4 linked regions of the Alligator mississippiensis genome follow. The protein of the gene in region 3 purifies or fractionates together with the protein of the main gene of each other region. This does not show direct contact. Links are inferred from orthologs where the notes say so. Each region holds a gene or a part of one and is shown on either strand. Other genes may lie near its edges.

Region 1 (7,488 bases), on a different chromosome or scaffold from region 3:
CCCTTCCCCTGGCCATGTGCAGCCCTACCCTGCCCCAGAACTATGCCCCCCTGCTCCAGGCAGGCATAAACAAGAGATTCAAGTTTTTCCACTTTATTAAGAAAGCTTCCTGGGCCCAGCTGGTGCGGAGATCGCTGCATCCGGTTCCCGCCCCCAGAGGCAGCTAGGCTGCATCATCCACAAAAAAACCCTGAGAAGGATGAGCAGGGCCAGGAGCTGCTGGGGGCCAGAAACCCACACCCCGGGCCTGCTCACAGCAGCTCAGCCTGGTGGCACGGGCCGCGCTCCTACCCCCTAGTACTCCTCGGCCATCACAAGCACTACCAGGGCAGACCAGCCAGTGAAGGGGTGGCAACCCTGGCCGCGCCCGGTGCTGTCATTGTACTGCTCCCACAGGTACCCACTGGCCACGTACTGCCGGTACAGGTTGCCCACCAGGTTGGTGCGCAGCTCGTGGTAGATCTGGGCCGCCCGCGCCTGCTGCGGCCCCGGCAGCCCGGCATAGTGGTGCAATGCCCGCAGCGCCAGGTAGTTGATGTTGACCCAGATGGGACCGCGCCAGTACGGTGCGTCGTGCTCCGTGTTGCGCTGCATGTAGAGGGGGCTGGTGGGCGCCAGCGAGCGCAGGCCGAAGGGCGTCCACAACTTGGCCTCGTTGCGCAGGTCGGCCAGCATGGCCCCCAGGCGTGGTGAGTCGGGCTGCAGCAGCTGCAGCAGGAAGGGGAAGAGACTGACGTAGCCCAGCGCCTCCACAAAGCGTGGCCGTGGCGGCTCCCGCACCACCCGCACCAAGCGGGGTGGAGGCAGCTGGTGCCGCGGCTGCCCTGGGGGCACCACCAGGCGCTCGCGCTCCAGCCCCACGGCCCGGCTGTGGTTGCCGTAGTCGGCGAAGGTGCCCAGCTCCGCGGCCCAGTGCTGCTGCTCCAGCAGGGCATTGTCACTTAGTGCCTGCGCCAGGTGCTGGTACTCAGTTGCCGGCTCGCCCAGCCGCTCAGCCACATCAGCCATGACGCTGGAGGCCAGCGTCATCCAGCAGCGCAGGTCCAGGTGCCGCTCGTCGGGCGAGGGGTGTGAGGCGCGCGGGTAGTCATCCAGCCCTGAGGCCAGCGTCTTGGGGTTGAGGAAGAGCTTGGTGTCGGTGTCACGGCCGCGCCAGCGGAAGGTGTAGGGCAGCGGCCCGGCCTGCGTGCGGTTGTACCAGTCGTACCAGGCCTGCAGGCGGGGGAAGAGGCGGCGCAGGTAGGCCGGCTTTGCCTCGCCCTGTGCCAGCAGCTGCTGCAGAGTCAGGAAGAAGGTGGGTGGGTTGGCGACCTCAGGGTGCTGCAGCACGAACTCGGGGGGCACCTTGGCACGTGCCTCATCATCCAGGATCTGCTCGCGCGGGATCCAGCCCTCGGCATTCATGAGGTCCAACCAGTGGGCCAGCACCTCACGGCTCAGCGCTGGGTCCCAGCGTGCCAGCAGCAGCTGGTGGAAGCCCTCATCCCACAGAAAGCCGCGGGGGAAGAAGGAGCGGGAGGGCACGGCCGTGAAGAGCGGCCTCTCGGGGTAGAGCAGTGGCTCCTCGCCCTGCGGCGCCCGCACCAGCGACCGCCCGTGGAAGTAGCCCAGCCCGCCCAGCACATTGCTGAGCGCGGCCCGGGCGAAGGCCTGCTCCGCGGCTGAGAAGCCCTTGTGAGCCAGCCCAAAGGTCTCCTCGAAACGCTGCTCGAAGGCGCTCGCGTGTTTGGCCAGCTCCCGGCTCAGGGTGGTGCCGGCCAGCGGGCTGGGGCGCTCCGCCTCCGTCACGCTGCCCGACTCGAAAAGCACCTCCAGCTGGCAGGGCAGGTGCAGCGTCACCTGGTGCACCAGCAGCTGGGTGCGGGGCGGCTTGGCTGGGTCCCTCGGCGGCCCCCGGTAGGTGTCCAGCCCGAAGTAGCGTTGCCGGGGGCCGCTCGGCGGCGCGTGCACAAACCGGCTGCTCAGGCTGCTCTTCACCACGTCGGCCACGCGGTGCAGCCCTGGGCTCGTGGCCTGCAGGTAGTTATAGCTGCGAGGGAACGGGGCAGCTCAGGGCCGGGCAGTGGAAGCCCACCCCTGCCCTGCCTGCCCCTCCAGGGTGGGCTGAGGCGGGAGCAGCCGCCCAGGTACCTGGCGTGCTGCGAGGCTGTGCCGGCGCCCGAGGGCTTGCGGAAGGTGACGGTGAAGTGGCCCAGCTCCTCCGAGGTGCCGGTCACGGCCGCCAGGCGCGTCTTGTCCTCCACGCGGGGCTGCAGCTCCCCCTGCCCGTCCGTGGCCACGTAGAAGAGGAGGGAGACGAGCGAGGCTGGGGCGCCCGTGTCCTGCTGGGAAAGCGAGGAGGGGCCGTCACCCGGCTGATCCCCACCCACGTGGGCGCCCGGGGGCTCGGAGCGAGGGGCACGGCCCCCCGGCGGAGTGGTCGGACACGTGGGTTCCCTCCCCCGCCCCGCCCCGGCGCCCACCGTGGGCCTGGCCGTGACGCGCCAGCTCCAGTCGCCGCCGTGCCGCCCGCCCGGGCGCTTGACGAAGTCGGTGCGCAGGGCGAGGCCGAAGTCGCGGATCTCCTGCACGCCGAAGCGCAGGCCGTCGTGCAGCAGCCAGCCGTAGCCCGGCAGACGGTCGCTCTGCTCGCACGTGTGCCGCAGCGTCACGTCCGACTCCAGCTGGTGCATCCACATCAGACCTGCGGGGCGGGGCGGGGCGGGGCGGGGCGGGGCGGGGGGGGTGAGCCGCGCGCGTGGACGCGGCTCCCGGCCCCGCCCCGCCCCACGCACCTGCCACGGGCGAGCGCGGGCTCCGCGCCTTCATGCCGAGGTAGAGGTGCGGGCGGTAGGAGCCCCAGAAGCGCGGCGCGGCGGCGCTGGCGTTGTGGCTGTCGGGCAGCGCGCGGGGCGCGGCGAGCGGCGTCACCAGGCGGGCGGCCCGGCTCCAGCGCCCGTAGGCGGCCCCGGCCCACGCGGCGCAGCCCAGCGCCAGCGCGCCCAGCGCCGCCAGCGCCAGCACCCGGCCCGGCCCCGAGCCCGAGCCCGAGCCCCGCGCCCGCTCCGCCGCGCCCCGGCCCCGCTCCCGCTCCCGCCCCGCCGGCCGCGGCCCCTCGGGCCCCCGGCGCCTGCGCTCCCGCGGCATGGCCCGAGCGGCCCCGCTCCGCTCCGCGCACCCCGCCGCCGCGTCGCGCCCTTTCCGCGTCACCGCCCCCAGCAGCCCCCGCGCCAGCCAGCTAGCCACGTGGCGCCCCCGCCGCGGGGCGCGCTGGGACGTGTAGTCCTGCACGCCTGCCTCCCCCCAAATAACAAGCGGCACCGGGCTCCTGCGGGGACACGTTTATTAGCAGTGCCCCCCCGCCCGAGGTCAAGGTCAAGGTCAAGGTGGTCGGGGGAGGGGCCCGGCCCCCCCAGCGAGGCCAGGGGTCGAGAGGCGGCAGTCCCTGGCGCATGGAGCGAGGGAAGGCGGCGAGGAGACGTGTGCGGGGGGGCGAGTCCCGGCTACTCCTTGATCCGTCCCCCGTCGCCCTCGCTCACGAACCGCTTGCGGCCCCTGGGGGAGCAGAGAGGGGCAGAGTCAGGGCCCGAAGCCGCAGCCCCCCCCGCCCAGCGCGCCCCCCTCCCCGCAGACCCGCTGCGTACCGGGCCGGGCAGGCGTCGCGCAGCTGCTTGGTGATGACGCCCTCCTCGAAGCAGAGATCCACCAGCTTCTCCAGGAGGCCGTGGGCCAGCGGCACGTCCAGGCTGATGTCGCCCAGCTCCTCGTACACCCGCTGGAAGCCCTGGAGGGGCAGGACCCCGGTCAGGGCTGCAGCCGGCACCGGGGACTGAGCCTGCCCCGCGCCCCCGCCGCCCCGCTCACCCGGTTCATCTGGTCCAGCGTCACCAGCCCCGTCTCCCACAGCACCTTGAGCAACCGAACCATCATGGCCACGGGCGTCTCCCCGGTGGACTCCAGCACCAGCACCACGGCCTGCGGGGACAGGATGAGACAGGGGGAAGGGGTCAACACCGCCGGGCAACCCACGAGCCTGGGGTCTGAGCGCGGACGCTCTTCTGCCCCTACCTCGTAGACGAGCTCGTGGTGGAAGTGGGGCACCTCGAGCTGGCGCAGGCAGCGCTCGGCCTCCGACACCTCCCCGGACAGCAGGTACTCGCGCAGCAGCAGGCTCATCTGGGGGGACGGACGAGGCGCTGAGGGACGGACGGGCAGACCAGCCCCCTCGGTCCGCCACCGCCCACCCCGGGCACCCGCCTGACCTCCTTGATGAGGTGCTTGACGGGGCGCTGGCCCCCGCCCACGCCCCACACGTTGTCCAGGTGGTTCACGTCCCGCTTGATGCGCAGCAGCACGGCCGCGCGGTCCAGGGCCGCCCTGCGGGGGGGGCACGGGTGAGCAGGGGGGCGGGCAGAGGGAGCGGGACTGGGGACGTGGGGACACACCCGTGCACACGTACCGGGCGTGCTCGCAGTCCACGCGGCCCTTGTAGTGCTCCAGGAAGTCGAGGGGCAGCGCATGGTCGGCCACGGCCCGTGCGATGAACTGGCCCAGCATCTGTGTGGACACGGGTGGGATGGGGGAGCCTGGCCCCTGCCCGGCACCCCAGTGCCTGTCCCCAGCCCGGGCTCCCCGCTCACCTGCGGGGCTTCGGGGGTGTCGAGGATGAGGTCGGGCAGGTCGCGCAGCATGCGGTCGAAGGCGGCGGCGAGGTCGTCGGGGGTCAGCACGCGGCCCACCAGATCAGCCAGCAGACGTGATGTCAGTTCCCGGTGGCTGGCCTTGCCCTCCAGCGCCAGCACCACGGCCAGCGCGGGCACCGCGCCCCGCCGCTCGCCCAGGTTCAGCCCCTGCAGCAGTGCCTGCGCGCACGGCCCCGCCGTCAGCACGGGCACGGCCCTGCCAGGGGAGCCCCCCCCCCCCCACGGGGGTCCCCGGGGACTCACCATGACCTCGCTGGTGTCCCCGTGCTCAAAGTACTCCAGCACCATGGGCTGCACGTTCTTCTCCAGCTCCGCCTCCTCCAGCTCCGGTGTCACCGTGGCGTAGACGGTGTCCCCCTGCGGCACGGGGGCAGGGAGCTCTCAGCCCAGGCACCCCCTGCCCTCCCCAGGAGCTGCTTGCCCCAGCTGGCTGCACCTGACAGCCGGGGGTGGGGGGGGCAGCAGGGAAGGACCGGGGTGCGGGGAGCTACCTGGGCCGACTCGTCATAGTTGGGGTCCCGGGCATCAGGCTCCTGGTAGCTGTACACCACGCCAGGCGCGCCCCACACGCCCTTGCCCCCAGCACCACCTGCCGGAGGGCACAGGGGTCACTGCCGGTCCTGCCAGCCCCCCCCCCATGGCAGAGACCCCTGGCCCGGGACGGAAGAGCCTCAGGCCCCCGCAGCTGCTGGGGACAGGGGACACCAGAGGGCTCGAAGCCAAGGCAGGGACGTGCTGGGACGGCCGCGAGCCCAGCAAGGACCCCCCAGGTCAGCACAATGTGGGGGGGGCTGCTGCGGGGCGGGAGTGTGGGGCACCAGCAGCACAAGTGGGGAGGGGGCGGCGGGGCGGGAGTGCGGGGCCCAGCGGGGGGGTCACGGGCCCTGACCTTTCTTGGGCAGGCCGCGACCTTTGCCCATGCGCGACCGGCGGTCGTGGCCGCGGCCCTTGGGGCTGCCGGGGGGCTCGGGGCCGGGCTCGCCGCCCTCCGACAGGGACTCGCGGGCGGAGTCGCGGGACGACGTGCGCCGCAGCCGCCGCTTGGCCTGGGCTCGCAGCCGCGCCTCGTCCTGCGCCGCCCGCGCCGCCGCGCCCGCCAGCGCCACCTCCAGCGCCTCGTCCTCCCACTCCCCCGGCGCCGTCCCAGCCTGCGGGCGACAGTGGTCAGCAAGGGGTCCCCCAGTGCCCCAGCGCCCCCCTCCTGCCCCGGTCCCCCTGCGCCCCAGTGCCCCCAACTTCCTGCCCCAGCCCCCCTTGTCCCCCACTTCCTGCCCCAGCCCCCCCTGCCCTTCTCGCCGGCCCCGGTCCAGACGCGGGGGGGAGGGGGTGGTACTCGCCGGGGCCGGGGCCGGGGTCGGGGTCGCGGGGGGGGCGGGGAGCGCCGAGGCCGCCATGGCCGCACTGCTGGGCCGAGTTAGGGGGGCGGGGCGGGGCGGCGCGCGGCATGCCGGGAACTGCAGTCCTGGGGCTGCACGTGGGCGGCCCCGGGGCATGCCGGGACGTGTAGTTCTACCCCCCCCCGCCCCGGAGGCGCAGGCGGGCCCCGCACGCGGTGGGTGGCTGGAGCGGGTGCCCGGGAGTCGCGGGCGAGCACGGGCAGGAGCGGGCGGCGATGGCCGGGGCGAGGCAGCAGGGACGCCGCCTTGGCGACCAGGTGCTCGGCGCTGCGGATGCGGGCACGATGCACTGGATTGCAGCCGGGGTTTGATCCGGCTTCCCGCAGCGCAGCACAACGCAGCCGAGCCGGGCGGGCAGAGCCGGCTGCAGCGCCGGGCGCAGAGCGACGTCTGGGTGGCAGCTGGCACCTAGCGGAGCCCCCGGGGCCGCCTTGCTTCACCGCCTTCATCGGCGGCCGGGCAGGTGACCGAGCCCGGCGGGGGAGCGCGGTGCGCTGGACCCCGACACGCCGGAGGACTGGGCTGGCGGGAGCCTCCTGAGGGGGGGGCCAACAAGGACACGTGCAAAGTGCTGCACCGAGGAGGAGCGATCCCCTGCCCCGGGGCAGGCGGGGGCACGGGCTGGGCAGAGCTCTGCAGGAAAGGGCCTGGGGGCGATGGGGGACAAGAAGCTGGACAGGAGCCGGCAGTGTGCCCTTGCGCCAAGAGGGCGACCGGCGTCCCGGGCTGCATCGGCAGGAGCATTGCCGGCAGATGGAGGGCAGTGATCCTTCCCCTATTCAACAGGGGGGAGGCCACATCTGGAGTCCGGTGTCCAGCTGTGCGCCCCACTGCAGAAAGGATGTGGACACGTTGGAGAGAGTGCAGCGGAGAGCAAGGAAAGTGGTTGGGGGCGGGGGGAGAGGCCAAGGGAGCAGGGCTGCTTGAGTCTGCAGAAGAGAAGACGGAGGGGGATTGAACAGCAGCCTCCAACTCCCTGCAGGGGGGCTGCAAAGAGGATGGAGCTGGGCTGGTCTCAGTGGGGGCAGACGGCAGGACAAGGAGCAATGGGCTCAGGCTGCAGCAAGGGAAGTTGAGGCTGGATATGAGGAAAACCTCTCACTAGGAGGGTAGTAAAAGACTGGAACAGGTCACCCAGAGGTGGTGCAGTCTCCATCCTTGGAGGTACGGAAGACCCAGGTAGACAAAGCCCTGGCTGGGATGATGTAGTTGGGGCTGATCCTGCTTGGAGCAGGGGGGTGGCCCCCAGAGGTCCCTTCTGGCTCCACAGCTCTAGGATTGATCCACCCACACCCTCTTTTCTGTCCGTTGATCCTTGTGCTGCAGCCACAAAGCTGCCCGTCTCCATCCTCTGACCCCCACCCTGCACCCAGGCCGATGCCCGTTTGTGCCACTCTCCCCCAGCTCCT
Region 2 (7,414 bases), on a different chromosome or scaffold from region 3:
TTGATGCTTTAAACCTGTATCTTCATGGAAGACGAGTTTCCCTCTGATCTACCAGGAAGATACTTGTATAATCACCAGGGATCCAGGTTTTTCATTTCCCACAGAAAAAAGGGAGAAAACTGTGGATTTTACTTTTTACCAGAGGCAAACAAAGATTTCTCATTTTACAGGAGAAACCTGAAGATTTTGCTGTGTTGCAAAGAGCTCCCTGCAGGCTGGCAAGTTTTCAGCCTGCAAGGGACTGGGGGGAGCGGGAGGAGGGTGGCCAGGCAGGGTATCCATGTGCATACATATACGTATGGCCATGAGGCAGCCTGGAGAACAGCTCCCACAGGTAAGTGGGGGGGAGGAAGCATTGATGGTCCCAAATGGAAGAAGGGAGGGAGTTAAGCAAGGCAGGGGCTGCTGCCCAGCTAGGCAGCACCTGGGGCTTGGGGCCTGGAGCTGTAATGCACGGCCACAGAGCCCTGGCAGGGAGCGGAATAGGGCCGCGGGCAGCTCACCCAGCAGGCAGCTTCCTGCTGCTGTATGCACTCCCGGGGGGTAGGGGGACCCATGCCCACCAGATCTGTCTGGGGGGGGGGGGTGGTCCCTGCTCCTCACTGCAGTGTGCCGTCCTGGAGAGCAGGAGGGACCTGTGCCCCCTAGAACTATGTGGAGGGTGGGGGCTGCATGCTGCCTGCTGCGGGTTTCCGCACCTATGACCTCTCCTGGGGCTTCTGCAACCTGGTGCTGCAAAGAACAGCAAGCCTGCACAGGAAAGCTGCTTGTGGTTACGAGCTCTGCACTGCCCTGGCAACGCGGTCCCCTGTACACGTGGATGCAGCGGGGGTGGCGGCGTGGGGTTGCGCACAGAGGATGCATTGCCAGGGCAGTACAGCACTCGCAGTGGCAAGCAGCTTTCCTGAGTGGCCTTGCTGTTCTTTGCAGTGCCAGGTCGCATGTGCCAGGCTGCAGATGTCCCAGGGGAGGGGAGCAGGATGGGTGCCCATAGCATGCAGCCCTGGCCCCATGGGTCCCCCCCTGCCTCTCCAGAGTGCACACTGTGGCAGGGATCTGCCCCCCCTGCACAAATCTGAAGCAAGCAGGCAGCAGGTGTGCACCAGGCTCCGCTCCACTGCAACAACTACTACCTGCTGCAAGGGGCAGAGGGCTGTGGACCCGAGTCCCTGGCTCCATAGCTCTGGCAGCTGGGGGCCCGCCTCCAGCAGAGCTGGGGGAGCAGGAGCTGGGGGTGGGGGGCACCAGCAGGGCCAGGGAGGATGGGGATGGGCTTTCTTTTTAATAATGGATGGGGGGGGTGAGGGGGTTATTGGAGAATTTATGATTTTTTTGTCAGGGAAAACCAGGATCCCTGATTATCACAAAGGGCATCCAATGACAGACACTGAATGTTAAGACAAAATTATTATTTTGTTTTACATAAATGTAGGACAACCTGTGCCAGGGCTGTCCAACTTCTAGGTCCCCGGGGGCCAGACCAGGTATATTATGCAGAAGTTCCCGCCCCCTTCAACTACTGAGCCACGTGGGTGCAACCTGCTTCCCACGTCAACATGCACATCCCCCTCCTCTTCCTTCTGCACCACTCAAGTGCAATCCCCAACTCTTCCCTCCCTCCCCTGAACCCTGAGCTGACCCTCAGCTCCCCACACTGCCATACCCCTAGGATGAAGGCAGGAGGCAGCAGCCAGAAGGGGGAGAGAGCAGGGAAGAGCCAGAGCAACCTGGCAAACAGGGAGCCCAAGGGTGGGAGCCTGAGGACTATGTATCTACTCTTCAGAGGCTGCATGTGGCCCTTGGGCTGTCATACAAGCAGACTGGCAATTCAGTTAACAGTTCAGCGTAGCGTAGGATTTTTATAAGGGCTGGTACCAGGTTGAATCTGCTTATGATAAGGTATCAGTCCTAACTTATCATAAGCAGATTCAACCTGGTACCAGCACTTTTCAGAAAAATATCTGTAAAAATGCTTTCAAGGAGCACTATATCTTTTCAAATGTGCAGCACACAAAGATGTTATGGAAGCCAGTCCCACTATAACCCATTCCTCCCAGTCCCACTATACCTCATCACACCCCAGCTCTTACAAAATCTGCCTGGTTCAGCAAAAGAAATGTTAGACATGATTTTCCTAAGCATTACCCCACCAGCGTAAGATTTTCTCCATACCACGCAAGTCAGAAGGATACTGTGCTCCGAAGGTTAAGCTACTCAAAACCTGTAGCAAGCCTGAGACAGTGAGCAGCAACCAGGTATTTCACTCCACTCTTACTTCATTGTTTGTCATCCCCGCCCCCCCCTTTAAAAAAATACCTGCTTCATCTCGTCAAAACAACTTTAGTTATGAGAACAAGACAGCTTCAGACAGGATCTAGTTATGTCATTTATTGCTGCACAAGCTTCAGCGTAAAGTGAGACTCTGGCTCAGTGAGGAAACCGTAAGGTTTACCAGATGAAAACACAGACTGCGAGGGAGGCCTCCGGCTCGCACAAAGCGCTCGAGACACACATACACAAAAAACCAAAAGAAGGAAGTCATGAAGTTTCCCCAGGTTAAAGAGAGAGCAAGAACAAGAGCTAGAGCTACGAAGTTACTTTCTACCCCCAGGGGAACTCCAGGGCAGAGAGACGAGCGGCGCGCGGGGCCCGGAACGAGTGCCCGGGCTCGGCGGGCTGCATTTGGCTCCGCTCCGCGGACAGCCCCGCACTCGGAGCACAACGGCCGCGGCTGCGCGCCCCCACCCCGGCCGGCCCTTGGCCCCTGCCACAGCTCCTGCCTGCCCCGGCCCGGCCCGATCCCGCACGGAGGCGCCGGCGCTGCGGTTGCGGACACTAGCGGAGCCCCACCGGCCCCGCCCCCGCAGGACCCGCCCCCCGGCCCGGCCCGGCCCAGCCCGCACCGGCCCGGCCAACAATGGGACGAGGCCGCGGGCTCTGGCCAGCATAGACCTCCCCCGCGGCCAGCGCCCGGCCCGGCCCCCGCGCCATGTTGGTGAAAGGAGCCGCCGGACCCAAGGCGCCGCCCCCCCGCTCCAGCCCTGGCCGCAGCACTCACCCGCTGCCCCCGGGAGCAGCAGCAGGGCGGCCGCCAGCCACAGGCGGGCCCGGGGCCACCCGGGAGCCGCTCGCGCCATCGTCCCGCAACAGCCCAGCCGGGGCCCACCCCGCGCGACCGGCCGCCGCCTGGAGGCCCCCGCGCGCCCGCCTAACTGAGACACACAGCCTCGCGCCGCCGGGCCCGGCCCCCCCCGGGCAACTGAAGCGGAGGCCGCTCCTGATTGGCGGCCACCGCCCCCGGCCCCGCCCCCAACGGCAGCTGCAGACATTCCGAGCAACAACAAGGGGCGCGAGCCTACAACCGGCCCGGCGCGCGGCCAGCGGGGCGGGGCCCGAACCTGAGTGGCAGGCGAGGCCCCGCCCTCGGGAGGCCGCCAGGGCCCGGCGGGCGGGGGCGGGGCGGGGCGGGGCTCCTGCCTGTCTGGGGGCGCCCGGCGGGGAGAGCACTGGAGTACCGCCTGCGGCCGCGCCGCTATATCACGGCAGCGGGGCCCGTGGGCGGAGGCTCCCCGGGCGGTGACTGAGCCGGGCGGCTGCGGTTCAGCAGAGCAACCTGGAACTGACGCTGGGGACCCCCTGTGGAGAGCTGCTGGGGTTGTCGGCGGCCGCAGGGCTGCTCTGCAGTCAGTGCCGGCGGGACCGCTAGGAGTCGGCCCTTGCCGAGGGGGTGAGGGCCGCTGCGCTGAGCTGGGTCCCCGGGAGGGTTGCGGGGTGGAGACCCTGCCTTGAAGCCGGCGCTTCCTTTCCTTGCTTGTTCCTCCCAGTCCAAAACCCACTCGCCCACACCGACCATTTGCTCTGCAGCTGGCTGAGCTGGGGCAAAACCCACAACCACTCCAGCGGGCTAACTTTGCCCAAGCACTTCTAGATCTCCGATTCCTTCCACCATTCAGCCAGCATATGGTGTCCCCCGACAAAGCATGGCGTAGCACCCAGGAAGTCTAGCAGCACAGTGCCAGCCAGTCTGGGCATTGCAGCTCTACTCCTACATAACCACATGTCCCTCTGTCTGGGGTGAGCTAGGGGGTCTCCTTGAAAACAAGTTGTACATACACTACAAAAGCTATTTCTCAGTTCTGCGTATGTGTGCAGTCATTTTTATAAGAAACCCTACCTTTCGGACAAACGCAAATGGTTATGAATCAGGAACGCTTCTAAACAGTTCACAAGCGTGCAAAATTAATATTTACTCCTTCGTTCTCCTTTCCGTTTTCTCCTAGCAACTGTCACCGCACTACAGAAACACACCCAAGTTGCATTTTTCCTTGCTGAGCAAAATAATGCTGTAATCTTAGTATCATAAGAACAGGGTTATGTATCTTTGTGATCTGACACAAATTGTAACTCTGTTACATACACACAGGAATTGCTCCTGTCACACTAGCAGATTCAACATTACTAGGCAAACATATGTTTAGTCACTCAAACTAATGAGAAAGATTAACAGGGAAGGAAACTAATGAAAAGGAAACATTACTAACAAATGCTGGGGCATAGTTAAGGTTGTTCAAATCTTGTGTTTTTGCTAGGGCTGTCCGGGGGGGGGGGGGGGGGGGGGGGGGGGGGGGGAAATCAGGGTGACTGCCCTGGGTCACATGCTTTGCGGGGCCCAGCAGAGCAGTGACTCCACGCTGCCACTGTCCCCCACACACCCCCTGCCACCACCAAATCCGCTGCCGAATCTGGCATGTCTGGCTGCTTAGGACCCTCCTCCCCCCAACCGAATCTGCCACCAGCTTTCTTGCATCTGGAGGGAGGGCCCTGCACCCTGCTCTGGTCATCTCTGCTTTTTGCTTTAATTACAGTTAGAATTTAATCAGGAGTTTATTTTGTTATGAAGCTTAGGTTCAAAAGCCATTATTCTTCATATTTCAACATTCATCTCTTCTTCATGGGTCTTCTGGAGGTATGTCAAGCCCAAAATAAGACAAGGCAAATAAGTGTTGAAATTATTTTCTATTCTCTCCCTTCCACTAGAGTGCTTGAGGGCTTCCATGACTGAATCCACTCTTCCCCTATGTCCCCTGCAGATGGCTCCTAACCCACTTCCCAGACTGCAGAAGTCTTTGACACTGCTTTTTGGCTGGCAGCCAACAATAAAATTAAACCATAAATTAGCAGAAAATATGATGAGCTTCCAAATGGCAGCATAGGAGTAAATGTTACCTGTAAATTAACTGATAGGTTCAACCAATCATCCCTCCCTGAAACACGGACCAAGGAAAAAGACTGCTAGGGGGAAAGTAGCTACAGCCACCATATCTACAGTCCTGACCCTTAGATACCCAAGACCTCAAATGGATTGCAGACCACACCCTGGGGTCAAAGCAAGCAGCAAGAGGCAGTGCAAAGTTGAAAGGGGTAAAATGGGTAGGAGGAGTAACCACAGAGGTACTATATAACAGACTATTTAAGCTCTAAACTGCCTGTCCTGGTGCTACAATCTCACGTCTGTTGTTTCAAACCTCTGAACTTTTAACTGCTTTAAAAATCATTATCTGTTATTACTGAGGTTAGAGAAGGAACAGATTCTGACACTGGAGATCTTGACCTTCAGTGAGTAGTAATGGATACCTCAACATTACAGCTTGTTCTCACTGGACGGATTTTAGGACCATTGCTATGCAATTCAGGTAGTTCATACTCCATTACTGCAACACACAATAGCCGTATATAGCTGCATTATCTTCCATCTACCTTGATTCAGGACTAAAACATCTTACCTTCTTCCATATTTTTTATTACATCACATTTCCCAGTTATGCCTCTCATTCAACTTCCAGTGCTGAAATTCTAATATTATAAAAGCCTTAGCCTGTCTGTCTGTCTGTCTGTCGTGCTTTATTTGCATTCCGATTGACTGTTTTGGGGGGAGGGGCACTGGGTCCTGCCCAGCCCGGCCCAGCCCCGAAACGGTGGCAGGGAGGGGGGGAAGGGGGCTGGATGTAGGCCTCCATTCAAATAACAGCTTTCCCTGTGTGTGTAGGGAACTATACCTTTAAAGGTTTTTTCCAAGAGCCATTTGAAACCATTTTTTTTGTTTTGTGTTGGCTCTGATCAGTGAGAACTGAGGCACACTTCTGTCAGGCTCTTGGCTCTGAGTGATTACAGAACATCTTATGCTACCAGGACTAAGACAAGCTAAAATACCGCGAATGATATATTGGAGCTGTTAAAAGTCCCAGAGTAGAAGCTCTGAAAATAAATATGAGAGAAGGAAAGAAAGGTGAAAGTATAGTTTGAATGATCTTGCACTGAAGAACTTTGCAAAAGGTTACATGCCTGAGAAGACACTAGATTGTCCCAAATCCCAATGACAAAAATACCATGAATGGCTACTGGAAAACCCAGAATTAACAAATAGAATTTGCCAGTCAAAAGGAATTCACCCAGTTCAGACTGAAACATAGGAAGGACGTACTCAGAGGCTAGGGGCAGAAATTACAAATAAACAAGTATAAGTGATCAGAAAAAGGATCAAATCTGTAACAACAGAAGTTCAGTATGCATTAACCACTTTCAAAATGGCTGAAACCAGTTTAAGATAAACTTGGATGGATGTAGTATGATTTAACTGAATTAAATCATCAGTTTAGTATGACTTAACTCATTTAGGTTAAATTGTTTTATTGAACTTCTGTCCCAAATCCTCTCCAAATTCAAGTTAAATCAGAGTTCCCCAGCTCCCCGGGATGCTTTTCACCTCCCCTACAAACCCCCGCTTGCAGGGAAGGCAAGCTAACCTTGGCCTAAGCTGTCTCTTCCAGCAGAGCAAGGAGGCATGCTTTAGGGCCAGTGGCCCAGGCCCTCTGGCTTCTGGCCTGGGCCACTGCAGGCATGTGGCTGCATTTCCAGAATCAAAAGTGAACATTTGTTCGCTTGCTTATCAGTTCAATCTACACAGATTAGACTAGCCTGTGAAGATTGAATCAATTCAGCCACTGGCCTTTTGACTGTCTGTGATTAGCCAGAGCCAACTAAAACAACTGAGGAAAGTTTATGAACATCTTCCAGAACATATGGAGGCTCTCAGCATGCAAAATAAAGCAGGAAGTGCCCACCCAACTTCACAGTTTACATCCATAAGAATGATACCTTTTCTCTAAGGCTGAGAATTGGTGAGTATTTATTCACCAAGGTGCCCCCGGGGGTTACAAGAAACAATGGCCACAAGCTAGCGGAGAGCAGATTTAGATTGGACATTAGGAGGAACTTCTTCACAGTTCAAGAGGCCAAGGTCTGGAACGGGCTCCCAAGGGAGGTGGTGCTCTCCCCTACCCTGGGGGTTTTCAAGAGGAGGTTAGATGAGTATCTAGCTGGGGTCATCTAGACCCAGCGCTCTTTCCTGCTTATG
Region 3 (7,704 bases):
TGCTTGAGTTAAGCAAAAAAAAAAAAAAAAAAAACAAAAACAAAACAGATTCAAGGAAATAGAACTGGAAAAACCCACCAGGCAGGTAGCTATTCGTACTGGGTTTACCAAGATCAGGCAATTCATGGCTTCAAATCCAATCATTCCAAACAAAATTAACCAGAAGAGAAAACAAAGACAGTTCTCTGTAGAGCCATTTTCTTCCCACCTTATTCTCAGCTCCCTGCCTTGAATCAATGCATTGTTCAAGTCTCTCTTATCTTACATATCAAGCCATAGATTCTTCCGGGCAAGGAACATACTGTAATTATGCAATGCTGTACAATCACTTATAACCTAAAGCAATTAAAGCCATAGAATTTACCATAATCCACTAACTGTTTGGTTGCCATTTGTTGGTAGTGCTTTGTTAAAGCATACTTGCCTATTTAGTAAAGCATTTATTCTAAATAACCAATTCGGAAGAGCAGGAGAGCCTAATCCAAATGAAGGTTTGGACTACAGCCACTGTATTACAAAATGTGTGGGCAGAGGATACTGACCAGTGTTTGAGGGGGAAAGATTATGTCACAGTTCCAATATCAGGCCGTGACTGTGGAAACCTGTGTTCATACAGTTAAGTGGACTATTTGCATGACGTGCACCAAGACAGTCTTCCAAGTTCTTCCATTTGGAAATTAAGATAACATTACCTTTCACTAACGCTTTGCCTAAACCAGGGGTGTCAAATCAAGCAGTTCTGAGGGCCATACAAGAAGCCAGCCAGGCTACAAGCAAGCCACTGGAAGTTTTGGGGGAGATGGTTGGGGATAGAGTGTCCTGCTGCAGGCAGGGCCAAGGGCCCCTATAGACATGGCAATCAGTGGCAGAAGGGCTTTGCCCATTGCCACTGATTCAGCCCTACTGGCTCAGCCGGCCCTGCCACTGCCCCATGCTCAAGCCACTGCATGTCTCGTACCAGAACCAGAGTTGCCCCCATAGCACAATGTAGCAGCACAAGCAGCAGCTCCAGCACGTGACAGCAGTCAGAGCTGCACTGCATACCCTGGGTTGGGGGGCAGAGCCGTCACTGTTGCTGCATGCTATGGGATAGCTATGGCCTGTCTGGCCCAGGACACAAGAGGAGTTGGACACCTCTGGTCTAAACAGACTGTCACAGTATGTTTGTGGACAACTAGAAAGATGGGTCCTACCCTTCAGCCAGGGTTCCTAAAGACTACTCAACACACCCTCAAGCCAACTGATTTTGTACAAAGGACACAAAGTCATACACTTCACTTCAGGGAAAGAAACAAACAAAACAAAACCAACAGTAAAGGCAGCTGTGAGGAACAGCAATGATCCGGAAGTGTTAAAGCATAATCACTATTTACTTACATCCCTTCTGTACTTGAATTATCGTATTATGGACAGACAGTAAATATATCCACCGATACAGCCCCTGCTTCCACCAGTTTTGAACAAAATTTTCCAGTCCTAGAATGGCAACTTCTAATATAGTTAAATCTTTAAGTTTCAATTTCAACCACGAGCCAAGGCACCTTTCCTAGAAGAGGCTATAGCAGACAGGGGGGCTAATCAATACCACGTCATTTAGAGATACTACATTTCCATGAACTTCACAGAAACTTCTTTAGTTATCTACAGCTGTGCCCAGGAAATTCAACCAGCACCCCCACAGGGCCAACTCTTTATGATGTTTGCTATAACAGGCTCAGACAATCAAGAGATTAGTTATAATAATATACAACACCCAAGCAAAAACCTGCTTTTAGTAACAGTCTTCAAACATGTCAGCTTCTAAAAATAAGCTGCATCAATATAGGCACGGCGAAGGAAAATTCTGCGCTGTTTGTCAGCAAAGAGGTCATTCATGCAGAACTGGAAGTCCTTGGAGAACAGACAACACTGCAGGCTTTTTGATGGTTAACACACAGGAACTGCTAAGGCAACACAAAAAAAACTCCTTTCAACCCCCGCAAGATTTTTTTTTTTTTTTTTTTTTTTTTTACAAGGTGAAGAGATTATTTAGAAAGCTTGACATCTCATCTAGAAACAAAGTCTAATTTGTCCTGTACTCCAAAGCAATAAAAACCTTTACAAAGAACAGGGTTGGTTTAAGCATCAAGCTTAAATAGGTAAAAACAGGCATTTAACAGGAGGAAGAAGTGAGGTATGAAAAATAAATAAATAAATAAATAAATAAATAAAAGTTAAGTTGCCCATCCTGCCAAGATGGCTGTGTTTCACTCAACCCTTAAGGAGCCAAATCATTTTTAAATAGAAGTGAGACCTGTCTAATGAAAGGGCTTCCAAAAAAAGATGATTTTTCTACTTCTGCTATTAAAATTTGACCACTTCCTTTTACCAGTTTGCATTGGTTTTCCCCTATCCAGGATGAATAGAGACTCATCAGTCTCACTGGCTATATTCCAGACCCTCCAGCAGTGAACGGGATTTGGATACCAACGTTTCCACGAGAAGCTCTGCAGAAAACGACTGAGGGATGGTTTTGTTTTAAAAGAACCTTAAAAAAAAAAAATAACACAGAAGAGGGATTTACGCACAAGACACGTGTCTTGAATTCATAACCCGTCAGGCCAGGAAGATCACTGGGTGCAGCCCCCTGCACCGAGCAGGCGAGACAGCTGGGCCCCAAACTGTGATGATAATAACTGCTCTGGCTAAACCTGAGTGGCCTCGTGGCTGGACTCCAGCAGCTCAGCGCAGCCTCGGGCAGACACACGATTTTGCAAGTCAGGTTTATTACATCGGGCTGAATAATAATAATAGAAATAATAATGATGATAATACAAAAAATATTTTAAATTTCCTCAGCTCTACAGCAGACGTAAGAAGCAGCCTCCCCCCGACGCGAGCACCATCATCCAAGCGGGAAAAAAGCCCGTTTGGCGCGAGCTCATCGCACCCCTGCTCGAGAAAGGTGGGGAATAAACCGGCACAATCGGGGAAAGTCTTTTTCTTTCTCCTCCAGGCGGGGACGGAGCGCGCGCACGTGCCAGGCAGCGCCCAGGAGGGCACCGGCCGCCCAGAGCGGCCCGAGTAGGCCGAGCCCCTGAAGGGACCGGTGCTGGACCCTTCCCGCCCGCCCCGTGGGGGTCCCAGCCCCGCAGGCTGCGCCCGGCGGCCCCGGGGGGAGGTGAAGGAGGGGGACACGCACTCACCTCACGGCTCGCGCCCCCCAAGCAGCAGCGACCGCCGCCACCGCCCCCGTCACGTGCCGCGCTCCGGGCCGCCGCCCGCCTATCTAGCGCGAACTGGCTCCGCCCCCCGCTCTGCGCTTCCGCTCCCCCATTGGCCGACCCGGCCGCCGGCTTCCCGCCCCGGGGCTTTCCTCCGGGCACTATTGGCTCGCGATGCCGTCGCTCGTCGCTTCTCCCGCCTCCCCCGCCTCCCGCCCAGCGGTGCCCTTCGTGGAGCGCCTGGATTGGCGCTCCGCCGGGAGGAAGTGGGCCGCGATTGGCTCGGCGTCGGGCAGGGGGGTGGGGCCGGAGAGGAGGAGAAGAACGGAGTGCTGCTGCAGGGTTTGGCGGGCTCTTAAAGGGGCAGCGTCTCGGAAAGGCGTCTCGCGAGCTTCCTCGTGGCGGCACGGCTGGCTCGATAGGGGAGGCTGGAGAAAAAGCCGCCCCACGCGTCTGCCATGAGAGGGCCACCTCCTGTCCGGAGAAAGCGGGTCCTAATGCCAAATAGGAAAATTGGGCATCCTGTGCAAGGCAGTGTAAATATCAAGTTGTCCACACCACAAAAACCTCATGAGATTAAAAATTATAAATATGCAAATAAGGATTGTTTGGAGATTCAAATGACAGAGATTGGACTGGGTAAATTATGAGCGGGGAGCAGGGGCCCTGGTAAATAAAGTTAATTTTAGGGCAAGAATGTATAAATACGCAAGGACCAAAACAGTACGGCAGGTCTATGACATAGACCAAACATAATCTAGGTATGCTTTATTTCTTATTAGATAATAAAGTGATGAAAGTTAATTTGTATAGATTATTTGTCTGTCTAGTTAACAGTCAATCTATCTACATGCACACAAATATGTGTGTGTGTGCGTGTGTACACACATCTGTATATATATGCATATATATGTAATATGGAGATATATATATGCATGTGTGTATACATATCTATATACGTATATATGTATACACACATATGTGTACATATCCATATATATACACATATATGTGTGTGTATACACACATACATCCATACAGCCACTAAGCCAGTGTCCATCTCCAGATTGTTTGAACATTAATGAGTGTTATATTTACATATATAAACATTTTATTTATAATACAGGTAAGGTATAAGAATTGTTTTATATTATTTATTTTGTAAATATATAATACCTCTAATCTTGTGCAATTCAAGTCTGTTACTCGACTGTTGGAGTTTTGCTTCTATATTTGCTTGCATAAAAAAAAAAGTTAAAAACAAATAATAAATATTATGCTCTGTTTATTTATTTACCTTCTGATTTTTGAGCTTCTTGATCATGTTTAGGATGTTTCAAGCTCTTCTCTGCACTATATCGGCTAGATTGTTACAGGAAAAATTAAATTCCAAACTAATCACTTGAGATTTTAGGAAACCCACGAGTGTTAGCAATACTGGCCTGTGTATGTTGCACTTGCTGCACGCCATTTAGCCATTTAGGATTTCACTGCCCCAGCAGCGAGAGAGAATTCCCACCCTCCTGCCCTACAAACATAAAGTCTGAGGAAAATGTTCGTTAGCCGTCTGTGCGGTCTGACACGCATCTGAACAGTTCTGATTCTCTCCAGTAGAGGATAGCGATGAACATTCACATCAGCCAAATAATGATGACAATCTCTGGTGTAAAGCAACCCCTTTCACTTATCGATTAGATCAGTTTTGTTATATACCCCGTAATAGAAAAAGCTGTAAGCAGTGTGTTGTTTTCTGTCATTCATAACATTCTTTGATGCCTTGCAGATGTAAAATGCTTTATGTATGCCAGGTATATTGCAAACTTATTCTCATAACAGCCCTGTAAAGTAGGGAAGCAATGTCCCCGTTGTACAGATTGGGAAACTGAGGCACAGAGAGAGTAAACGTTTTGTAAAAGATGATACAAGTTATTAGTAGCATTGCTATAATGTAAAACAAGGACAGCATGAGCCAGAGATTAATAGGAATCTCAGATGGGAAAACCAAGCTCCTATCATTTATTCCTCTGAGCAGACACCGCCTTTGGTCTGTGCTGCTATGGCTATACCGCTGGCTAGCAGACCCAGCTCTAGATAAGTGACCGTGGAGATACCTGGTTCATTGGTCACCTCTCTTGGTTACAGTACAGTAACGTAGTTAGTAGCTCATCCCAACAGAGAGTGAGTGTCCTATCAACTGGATCTGACCTTGTAGCCTGTGGGGTAACAGGATTCTTTTTTAAACATGAATCTGCTTTGAGTGAGCACTATGAGTCAGCAAAATGCATCTCACCAGGGAGAAAATTCCACCACCCTAGGACAATGTGAGCCTGGGCCTGGTATTTAGAGTTAAGGCTCAGCATAAATGAGATCAGCAAATCTATCAACATTGAAGTCTGAATTCATGTTTTCCTTTTTTTTTTATTTCTAGAAAGGCACCAAGCTGATTCAAGCCTCGCTGGAGACAGGCCCGAACAGAGGCTAAACACAAGCTGCAGACAAGTGAGAAGAACAAGAGCAGCAAACTAGTCTCAGAAATACGATGCAGAGGGGCTTTTACCAAGGTTAAAAGCATGCAGCTCAATACTTCAATATGACAAGATGCAAACTGATGAAGTCCCTCTTCAGCCCAGGCAAAATCTGTTAGAACAGCGAGGCCGTGGAATAGACTGTCTGGGGAAGCTGCGGAGCCTCCTTCATCGGAGGCTTTCAAGAAGAGATTGGATAAGCATTGGTCAGGGATGTCCTAGGGGTAGCAATGCTTGCAGTGTGCATTGAAGAACGACGGCTGGAAGCCCAGGAGATCCACACGTACATCTCATTTGAGGCTCATGTGAAGAGCTCTGGAATCCAGAGTGGAATGTGAAGAATGAAGCGGAGCTCCACAACCAGCTCATGTATAAATCAGGGTTGAAAAGCTGGGACAAGTTTATAGGAGGGATAGGATGACAGAAAGAGGGGTTCTGGCTCTGTAGTTAGAGCGCGCGATGGATGGGTGTAGTTGTGCTTGTGATTCAATGGAGGGTGCTTGGTTTTCCCACATTTCTGAACTTTGCTAGTTGCCATATGAGGGATGGGAAGGAAGATTTTTCCCTCCAGCAGCTGCAAACGTCTGGGGTCCTGATGGGACTTAAACCCAGAGGTTCCTGACTAAAGGGTCTTGCTCCTCTGCTCAGTACCAGACCAATCACCATATTTAGGATTAGGAAGGAATTTTGCCCCATGGTCTGATCAGCAAGAACTATGGGGGAAGGCAGGGTATAACCTTCCTCTGGAGCAGGAAGCATGCTTCTCTTCTGTGGATCTCTCAAGTATACTTAACAAAGGACTGCACAGTACCCCCATCTCCCTGCTTTACCTGAGGTCAGCTAAAGTGTCCTTGATGTTTCTGGGCACAGTACCTGATACCTGGGCAAGAGGGTTGTACATACAATTTTGTGTGGACTAGTCTGGAAGGGTACTTGTCTGGGGTAGTTTGGATAGGGATAATCCTGTCTTGAGCAGAGGGTTGGACTAGATAACCTCTGGAGGTCCCTTTAAACCCTATGTTTCTATCATTTTATGATTGTATGCAATCCATGAATTTCAGGCCTTTCCCTGAGTTTGTAACTCAGCCAAAAAAACCCAACCTTGCTAAGTAACAAGACAGAAAACCAGTCCCCTGGGCAAAGCAGGCGACTGGAGCCCAGAGACCTACAAACCCCCCTCCCAACACACAACTGCTTTCCCTCTGCCTCTCTCTACTGCTTCTTGCTTGCCCATGATGGACTGTTATTCTTCTTGTCCCCTACAGAGTTATGTGGCAGGAAGACAGCTCTTAGCCTTTCCTTGGCTGTTTCACCCTGTTGAAGGGGAGACGGAGCAGCCAGTGAAACCACAGGAGAAAAATTCCAATTTTTATGCAGCCAGCCAAGCCTTGATTTTGGGGAGGCTGGATCTTAGGTGAGATGGATTCACATAGGACACAAGAACCCTGTGGCAGAAAATTAAAGCCATAAACTAGAATTATAGCTGATTTCATAGCTAAGGAAGCACAGCTTTTAAATCAGCTTAAAGAATGCCAGAGTGAAGAGGTGTGAGAGAAGGCAGCTAATGTGGGAAAACAGGCTACGTCAGGAGGCTGCCTATATTCGCTGATAAAGGTCTGGGGAGAGGGCTGTACTGAGCTGGAATAGGTCAGTGACTCTCAATGCCATTTTTCCCTGGGGTGCCTCCAGATCCTTTCAAGAGTGCTGTGGGATGCCTCACAATGTTACCACTCCTCGGTGTATAAACATCATTCACAAGATAAACCCAACTAGGAATTCATAGGGTTAAAAACAGTCTGCCCCGTTGTGGTCTTTCTGAGTTATTTGCAACAGAAGAATCGCTCTATTATTCTTCCTTAGCCAAAAAGCGAGTGAAAACTAAGAGCTGACATTTTCCAAGGGGTGCCTCAAATCTCATGAGAGGTGTTTCAAGTCTAAAAAAGGTTGAGAAGCACTGGAATAGGTCCCAGTGTTGA
Region 4 (7,823 bases), on a different chromosome or scaffold from region 3:
CCCCTCCCCAGCACCATGCTCCTGGCCCCCTGTCTCATTGTACCACCCTTGGGCATCAAGCCTCCAGGCCCTGCCTGCCCTGTAGCCTTGTTCTGCCCCTCCTGGGCTCAATAATAGCTCAGTCCTTGAGCCCACCCCGGTAAGTGGTGGTGCAGAGTCACTTGGAGGAACTGGATTCCTTTAAGTTGGCAGGCCTGGATGAGCTCCATCTGAGGGTACTGAAGGCACTGGCCGACGTCACTGCGCAGCCACTGGCGGGAATATTCGAACGCTCATGGTGCACGGGCCAAGTCCCGGAGGACTTCATTTTCAAGAAGGGGAGGAAGGAGGACCCAGGCAACTATAGGCCAGTCAGTCTCACCTCCATCCTTGGCAAAGTCTTTGAAAAAATTATCAAGGCTCACATTTGCGAGAGCCTGGCAGGACAAATTATGCTGAGGGGAAACCAGCACGGATTCGTAGCAGGTAGATTATGCTTGACTAATCTAGTCTCTTTTTATGACCAGGTTACAAAACGCCTGGACGCAGGAGTAGGGGTGGATGTCGTATACTTAGACTTCAGGAAGGCCTTCGATATGGTATCCCACCCCATACTGGTGAACAAGTTAAGAGGCTGTGACTTGGACGACTACACAGTCCGGTGGGTGGCGAATTGGCTAGAGGGTCACACCCAGAGAGTCATAGTGGATGGGTCGGTTTTGACCTGGAAGGGTGTGGGCAGTGGGGTCCCGCAGGACTCGGTCCTTGGACCAATACTCTTCAAAGTCTTCATCAGCGACTTGGACGAGGGAGTGAAGTGTACTGCGTCCAAGTTTGCGGATGACACAAAACTGTGGGGAGAAGTGGATAGGCCGGAGAGCAGGGAACAGCTACAAGCAGACTTGGACAGGTTGGACAAATGGGCAGAAAACAACAGAATGCAATTCAACAAGGAGAAATGCAAAGTGCTGCACCTAGGGAGGAAAAATGTCCAGCATATCTACTGCCTAGGAAATGACCTGCTTGGTGGCATGGAAGCGGAAAGGGATCTTGGAGTCCTAGTGGACTCCAAGATGAACATGAGTCGGCAGTGTGACGAAGCCATCAGAAAAGCCAATGGCACTTTATCATGCATCAGCAGATGCATGACGAATAGATCCAAGGAGGTAATACTTCCCCTCTATCGGGCGCTGGTCAGACCGCAGTTGGAGTACTGCGTGCAATTCTGGGCACCGCACTTCAAGAGAGATGTGGATAACCTGGAGAGGGTCCAGAGAAGGGCCACTCATATGGTTAAGGGCCTGCAGACCAAGCCCTACGAGGAGAGACTAGAGAAACTGGACCTTTTTAGCCTCCGCAAGAGAAGGTTGAGAGGCGACCTTGTGGCTGCCTATAAGTTCATCACGGGGGCACAGAAGGGAATTGGTGAGGTTTTATTCACCAAGGTTTACAAGAAATAATGGCCACAAGCTAGCAGAGAGCAGATTTAGACTAGACATTAGGAAGAACTTCTTCACAGTTCGAGTGGCCAAGATCTGGAACGGGCTCCCAAGGGAGGTGGTGCTCTCCCCTACCCTGGGGGTCTTCAAGAGGAGGTTAGATAGGCATCTAGCTGGGGTCATCTAGACCCAGCACTCTTTCCTGCCTATGCAGGGGGTCGGACTTGATGGTCTATTGAGGTCCCTTCCGACCCTAACATCTATGAATCTATGAAAGTGCTCCGGGCACAGGCACTAATGTGACCTCCAAAACCACCCCTTACAGTCCCAGTCCAAACCACCAGTATGAACAGCAACATAAACGTGAACCCGTGGGCTATAACATAATAATAACAACAGAAACAGCCCTCTGCCCCTTTAAGAGAGCAAACCTTTACCCTTAGTATAGCATGCCTCCCTACCAGGGTATCTTGTGAGCTCTTGGGGCCTCACTACTGCTGTAGGCAGCAAAACAGGCAGTCAAGAATCCCTAGGTATCCCTCCTAGGTAGGAGCTCCTTCCCCAGCAGCTACCAAGGAGAGACTCCCCTGCCAACCCCAGCCTTGGGCTTATATCAGGGGTGGGCAAAATGTGGCCCGCAGGCCAGAAATGGCCCACCAAGCCATTCTACCCAGTCCACAGAGCCCCTAAAAAATTTAGAAAATTCATATTAATCTGCCCTGGGATGCCTATCATGAAGCCCTCAATGGGTTGCCAAAACTCAGTAAACAGCCCTCCACCCACAATAATTGTCCACCCCTAGCTTATATGCTCCCTGGGCTCTGCCTCCATATGGTCAGCTGACCACTTGCAGGTGTCTGCTAACTGCCTCATTTGCCCGGTTGCCCTGGCAACTGGCAGCTGCTGTGCCCTGCCTGGCTGGGCTGCCTTTATCTTAAAGTAACAGAGGCCAGGCTCTCTGTTACAGGGCTGTTTTGGATTCTGCCCCTGTTGCCAGTTTGCAAATGTAGCTCATGTATTTGGTCCAGAGGAAAAGTAGGACGTCTGCCATTCCTCTGCCTCCAGACCATTTCACTTTGTATAGCTTGGTCCTTGCTACTTTCTCCCAGGTGGAGTGCTAAAAGAAAACACAAATGGCTCTTTGGATTCTGCAGATGACTTGCTCTGAGGTGGGGAAGATTGTAGCGCTGTATAGGAGCATAAGCAGAAGCACCGCTTTCATCAGCACCACTCCCCACTGCCCCGCACTGGCAGGCAGCACAATTGCCATAGTCCCAGCTTCTGTTTGGCTTTGGACTCTATCTTTTCCCATACCCTGTCCCATCAGCTCTGGGTCAAACTCCACCCCAAGGATCTTTACCCCCTCGCGGGGGACGGAGACCCCTAGGTGTGGCAGGTCCTCCAGGTTGCCCAGGACTAGGCAGGTGCTTTGTTTCATGTTGAGCTTGGCCCCTGCTGCTACTCCATATACCATTGCGCAGATAAAAAGGATTGGGAAGAGTGGGCAGCCCTGCCTCACATCTGACTACACCACAATCGGAGCTGTCAGGGACCCGTTCACCAGTATCCTGCTGCTCACATTGGTGTAAAGTGCCTTTATTCAGGTGACAAAGGTTGCAGGGACCCCCATCTTCTCAGCATCTTCAGTAGGAAGCAATGAGATACCTGGTCGTAGGCCTTCTCCAAATCAAGGTTCAGCATCCCGATATTCTGTCACCTCTCCCATTGGTACTGTAGCACACCTTGCAGCTGCATCAGGACTTTGTGGATCTGTCACCCCAGCACCATGCAAGCCTGGTCCTCATGGATCACTGCACCTATAACAGAATTAAAACACTCAGCCAACACTTTGGCCATTAGTTTGTAGCCAAGGTTCAGGAGCATAAATGGACCCCAGTTTTGAAGGTCTCACCTCTCCCCCTTCTTGTAAATAAGGATTATGAGGCCCTCGTTCATCTCCGCTCCTAGGTGACCGTCCTGCAGGAGCTCCCTATAGACCTCCAGCAGGTTCGGATCCACCTGGTCCCAGAAAGCAATATAGAACTCCTTGGGCAAGCCCCAGGAGTCTTACTGTCCCAGAAGCTGCAGAGCATCATGTTGATCTCCTCCAGTGTCCACTCCTCCCCCAGCTTCTGTCCCTTGTCCTCCCCAAGAACCTGCATGAGTTTCTGCAGGCAGTTCTGCATTGCCCCAGGGCTCTGCAGTCATGCCATGTAGATTCCAGAAACCACCATCTCCAGCAACTCCTCATTTTACTGGTGCTCCACCCCAGCTCTGTCTATCAGGCTGGTCATTGGTCCTTTCTTATTTTCCTTTATCTTGCTAAAATAAACAGACCACTCTTCCCCCTCTTCCACCCAGGTGACCTGGGCCCTGTGCCAGGCCTAGGGTGGCCATCATAGAGGACAGTCCGGTTGTCCTCTATCCTCTGTTGATATGAAACGGGATACCTTTATGTCCTCTATTTTTCTCTTCAAGAGAACTGTGTCATCAAAGTTGAAATATTTCTTTATGTTGAGCAACAGCAACAGCAACTGTCACAGTCAGATGAACGAAGGGCTCAAAGCTTGTAACCAGAGCTAGAACCAAAGGGACAGTGTGACTATAACCAGAAAAGGGTTATGGATGGGAGTGTAGTGCCATTACTGTAGCAGGTGCGTGGATGTGAGATTTTGTGGTACAGCCATGATGTTTTGAGACTGTTTGGGGTAGGGAAGCCAGTGGGCAGTTGCATGGGGTCGTGGGTCCTTCAGTGTATGTATTGTAATAGGTTTATAGGTTTTGTTGGGTGAGTTAAGGTATGGGAAGAAAAGTGTATTAGAAAGTGTATGCGTATACATGTGTGTGTGTGTGTGTATATATATATTAACAAAAAAAAAGGTTTTGAAAATGAGTTAAGGTTTGTGAAGAATGTATGCTAGATGGTGTGTGTATGTATGTATGTGTATATATATATGTGTGTGTGTAGGGACATATTTTTCCAAAAACAAACGAACAAAATCTTTATGTTGAGGCAAGCAGTCATAAAAAAGTGGTGACAGCAAACCCCCAAGTCGGTTAAGACTCTGAGACTGACTTAGGTTTTGCCCTGCTGCATCAACGAGCTGCCTTACTATTGTCCACTTGAGCACGCTCACCACGATCGATCACCCATTGTACTAGGGGGGACAGGATCCTACAACATGGTCGCTCTTGTCCACCCGGCAACAGCGGCGGGCTCCGGGCCCTGGCAGGCTCCAGCCCCCGCGCGCTCTCACCGACACCCGGAGCCCGCCCAAAGGCCAAGCCGGGGAGGCAGGATCCGCCCCTGAGCGGGGAAAGGAGGCGAGGAAGAGGAGGAGCTCTGCGCACCCTGCTCCGCGCCGGGCTGGGGCAGGCCTTGGCTACCCCGCCCTCTCCCAGTCTGCCCCGGGCGCCCGGTCCCGGTCCGTCCCGTCCTGTCCCGCCCCCGGGCTCTCGGCGCCGGGCGGCGCGGCCGGGATGCGGCGCGTGGCGCGGGTGGCGCTGCTGTGCCTGGGCTGCGGCTTGTGCTCGCTGCTCTACGGCTTCAGCCAGCTGGCGCTGCCCGCCGAGCCCGGGCCCGGCGCCGGGCGGGGGAAGCCGCGCGGGCCGGACGCAGCGGCGCGGAGGCGGGGCGCGGGCGGCCCCGGGCGGGCGGTGGCTCGGGCAGGCCGTGGCGCCCACGCCTTGCCGCCGCCTCACAGGTACTGCCGGGCCCCGGGCTGAGGCTGGGGGGACTGCCGCGCCTTCGGGACCCGCGGGCCGGCGCCTGGGCCCGCCCTCGGGCGAAGCGCCTCGGTGCCCGCGGGCCGGGCCGCCGCCCCGCCGGCTCAGCCTGGTGCCCCTGCGCGGCCTGGCTTGGCCTGGCCTGATCCGGCCCCTGCCGAGCCCCCCTCTCTCTCTCTCTCAGCCTCGGGGACCGAAGCAGTGGAGGGGGGTGGGGGACACTGCTCAGGGCAGAGGGGAGGCCTCGTGGTATTCGGCTCAGCTTAGTTGGATCAAAGGTGTCAGGAGGGCTTGGCACAGGAGAAGGGAGCCTAGGACACAAGGTGCCAGAGGCCCAGATCTGCCAGGTCTAAAAACCCAGAGGTGGTGGCAGTGGGGAGCAGAAGCTGCTGAGACCTGCAGTGCAGGGGCTGCTTCATTCTTTTGATGAATGGGGTAGCCCTGAATCGGAGGCATCAAAGGTAGGTTGCGGCCGCATCTGCCCGAGGAGTCCTGCAATCCAGCCCGTGCAGCACACGGAGCCCATCTGGTGTATGGGGATTCAGTCGGGTGTGCTGCATGCAGCCCCTGCGCCAGACTGGTCCTGAGCACTGGCTCTGGGGCTGGTGTGGATCCAGCTGTGCCAGCGCTAGTACGTGGGGCTGGTGCAGTGGGACTCTGCAGGTAGAGTGTGCCCCGCGTGCCATTTGTGGCACGTGTGGCTGTCCCAACCTTGCTAGCTGTGAGGCATGTGCTGGCCCCACTCCAGCTCTTGTTACTTGTAGATGCAGGTGACTACTACCAGTCCAAGTTTTGAAAGTCTCTAGGTAATTTTTGAAAACAGGACCTTAATTTAGACATTTCTGAAAAAAATGATCTGAAATCTGAATTTGTGGAACATCTTCTTCAGGAGTGAGCTAACTCTTCTGTATAGGAAATCTCTTTTATAAAGGAAATGTCATGGTTAAAACCAAAGGTACTGGGCTGTAGCTAGCGCAGAGCAGGTCACGGGAAGGCTAGAAAAATGTGGTGACTGGTATCTAAAAAGTTAAATTTTCTGTGACTTTATGTCAAGGGATTGTTGCCTTCAGCCCTGAGATTGTGTTAGAGCAGGGGTGGGCAAAATGCAGCCCCGGGGGCTGGATGTGGCTCACCAGGCCATTCTATCTGGCCTGCAGGGCCCCTAAAAAAATTAGAAAATTAATATTTATTTGCCCCTGGCTGCCTGTCATGCGGCCCTCAATGGCTTCCCAAAACTCAGTAAGTGGCCCTCTGCCCACAATAATTGACCATCCAGAAAAGACAGATTCACAGGTGAACTGGGCTTCTAGTTATATTTATTCAGGTGTACAGCAGCTGAACATAAAGTAGCTACAGTTTCCTGTTGTAATTAAGGTATATTTAACTAAAATGAAAGAAATCCTTAATGCCTCTCAATTCAGAAATAGCAAACTTAGTTACAAGCTAGTGCAAGTTAGCCTCTCTCCTCCTCACTTCAGTGGTTTGATGAGGAAAGAGAGTTCCAGTTGTACTCTAGAAGTTTTCAGAAAGAGGTTCAAATAGGCTAGTTATAAATTGCTTTCAGAGGACTTTGGTGGGAAAAAATGGTCAAGCAGATAATTAAAATCTTAAAAACCTCAGCAAAAAAGAAAGGGAAAAGTCTTATCCTGGGTAGTCAGGTTTTTTTTCTTTTTTGAAAATCAAGTAGGGTGTTTACTTAAGTGAAACCACTCTACTGAAATGGAAACATTCTCTTAAAGATAAGATTGGATAAGTACTCTGTGAAGCACTACAGGGTAGATAAAGGTAGGGCCAACCTTAACACCTGATCAGACCCACATAATCATTTGCCACTAAGTCTTGCAGCTTACCCTCGCTACAAAATTTACATAATTTTAGTCCCCTGTTATCAGACTGGATGCATGCAGTTGTGGGTTGATGAGAATATACACAAAGTCTGCAAATGAGTTAACCATTTGTCCTTTCTCAGGCTATCATCAGGTGTACGTTTATACCAGGAGAAACAACTTTCTTTTAGGGATGCATCAATAAAGATTTTCTTGGCTAATACTGATGGCTGATTATTAACTGGCCATATCAGCTGATACTGATCCAATAGCTAATTTACAGGAATGTAGCTCGACAGCTTGGAGCAACCAGGTGGTAAATCGGGGGAGGTGGGGGGGGTAGATTGAGGCCCCCACAGTGAGGGATGGAGTGGGGCAGGGGCAAGTGCTACCCAACCAGGGCAGTGAATGCAACTCCACTGGGAGCAGTATGGAACTGTGGGAGGCTCATCCAGGGTGCACGCTGTGCGCACCCCTGGCATAGCCATGGGGGGCATGTACCCCTCTCCCCCAGATTTGTGGGTGGGGTGAGGGTGGGCTGCCTGCTGTGGGCTTGGGGCCAGGGGCTGTACCAGTCCTTTCCCGGCCATGGGGCTGGGCTTGGGGCAGGTGGTGGTAGCACTAGGAGGGGTGGCTACAGCGGATTTTGGGGTGGCTATAGCCCACTCTGTAGCTACCCCTCCCAGCGCTGCTGCCTGCCCAGCCCTGGCCTAGCCCCCTTGTCGGGAAGAGGCTGGCACTGCCCCTGGCCCCAAGTCCACAGCGGGCAGCCTGCCCTTGGCCTGCACACAAATCCTGGGGTGCACATGCCCCCCATGCCTCCCCCAGGGGTGTGCCCAGTGGTAGGGAGCTG

The links.
Region 1: the proteins of CANX (region 3) and MOGS purify together in Homo sapiens (affinity purification with mass spectrometry; 3 studies listed by BioGRID and IntAct, with this or other methods). This does not show direct contact. The link is inferred for Alligator mississippiensis from reciprocal best matches to the Homo sapiens genes CANX and MOGS.
Region 2: the proteins of CANX (region 3) and TGFBR1 purify together in Homo sapiens (affinity purification with mass spectrometry; 3 studies listed by BioGRID and IntAct, with this or other methods). This does not show direct contact. The link is inferred for Alligator mississippiensis from reciprocal best matches to the Homo sapiens genes CANX and TGFBR1.
Region 4: the proteins of CANX (region 3) and GXYLT1 purify together in Homo sapiens (affinity purification with mass spectrometry; 3 studies listed by BioGRID and IntAct, counting the BioPlex papers as one, with this or other methods). This does not show direct contact. The link is inferred for Alligator mississippiensis from reciprocal best matches to the Homo sapiens genes CANX and GXYLT1.

The regions. Positions count from the first base shown.
Region 1 is NC_081825.1:588,568-596,055, reverse strand, and holds MOGS (mannosyl-oligosaccharide glucosidase), read right to left. Parts: upstream 3,204-7,488; 5' UTR 3,127-3,203; coding exon 2,775-3,126; intron 2,684-2,774; coding exon 2,463-2,683; intron 2,325-2,462; coding exon 2,131-2,324; intron 2,030-2,130; coding exon 295-2,029; 3' UTR 78-294; downstream 1-77. Other genes in the region: transcription factor LBX2, read right to left, coding at 3,483-3,534, 3,624-3,763, 3,844-3,954, 4,048-4,155, 4,242-4,356, 4,439-4,536, 4,620-4,841, 4,926-5,039 and 2 more. UniProt on the Homo sapiens protein: In the context of N-glycan degradation, cleaves the distal alpha 1,2-linked glucose residue from the Glc(3)Man(9)GlcNAc(2) oligosaccharide precursor in a highly specific manner.
Region 2 is NC_081828.1:81,069,867-81,077,280, reverse strand, and holds the start of TGFBR1 (TGF-beta receptor type-1), read right to left. Parts: upstream 3,234-7,414; 5' UTR 3,138-3,233; coding exon 3,059-3,137; intron 1-3,058. UniProt on the Homo sapiens protein: Transmembrane serine/threonine kinase forming with the TGF-beta type II serine/threonine kinase receptor, TGFBR2, the non-promiscuous receptor for the TGF-beta cytokines TGFB1, TGFB2 and TGFB3.
Region 3 is NC_081832.1:74,511,163-74,518,866, reverse strand, and holds the start of CANX (calnexin), read right to left. Parts: upstream 3,283-7,704; 5' UTR 3,186-3,282; intron 2,743-3,185; exon of another isoform or gene 2,568-2,742; intron 1-2,567. UniProt on the Homo sapiens protein: Calcium-binding protein that interacts with newly synthesized monoglucosylated glycoproteins in the endoplasmic reticulum. It may act in assisting protein assembly and/or in the retention within the ER of unassembled protein subunits.
Region 4 is NC_081827.1:57,947,831-57,955,653, reverse strand, and holds the start of GXYLT1 (glucoside xylosyltransferase 1), read left to right. Parts: upstream 1-4,792; 5' UTR 4,793-4,898; coding exon 4,899-5,122; intron 5,123-7,823. UniProt on the Homo sapiens protein: Glycosyltransferase which elongates the O-linked glucose attached to EGF-like repeats in the extracellular domain of Notch proteins by catalyzing the addition of xylose.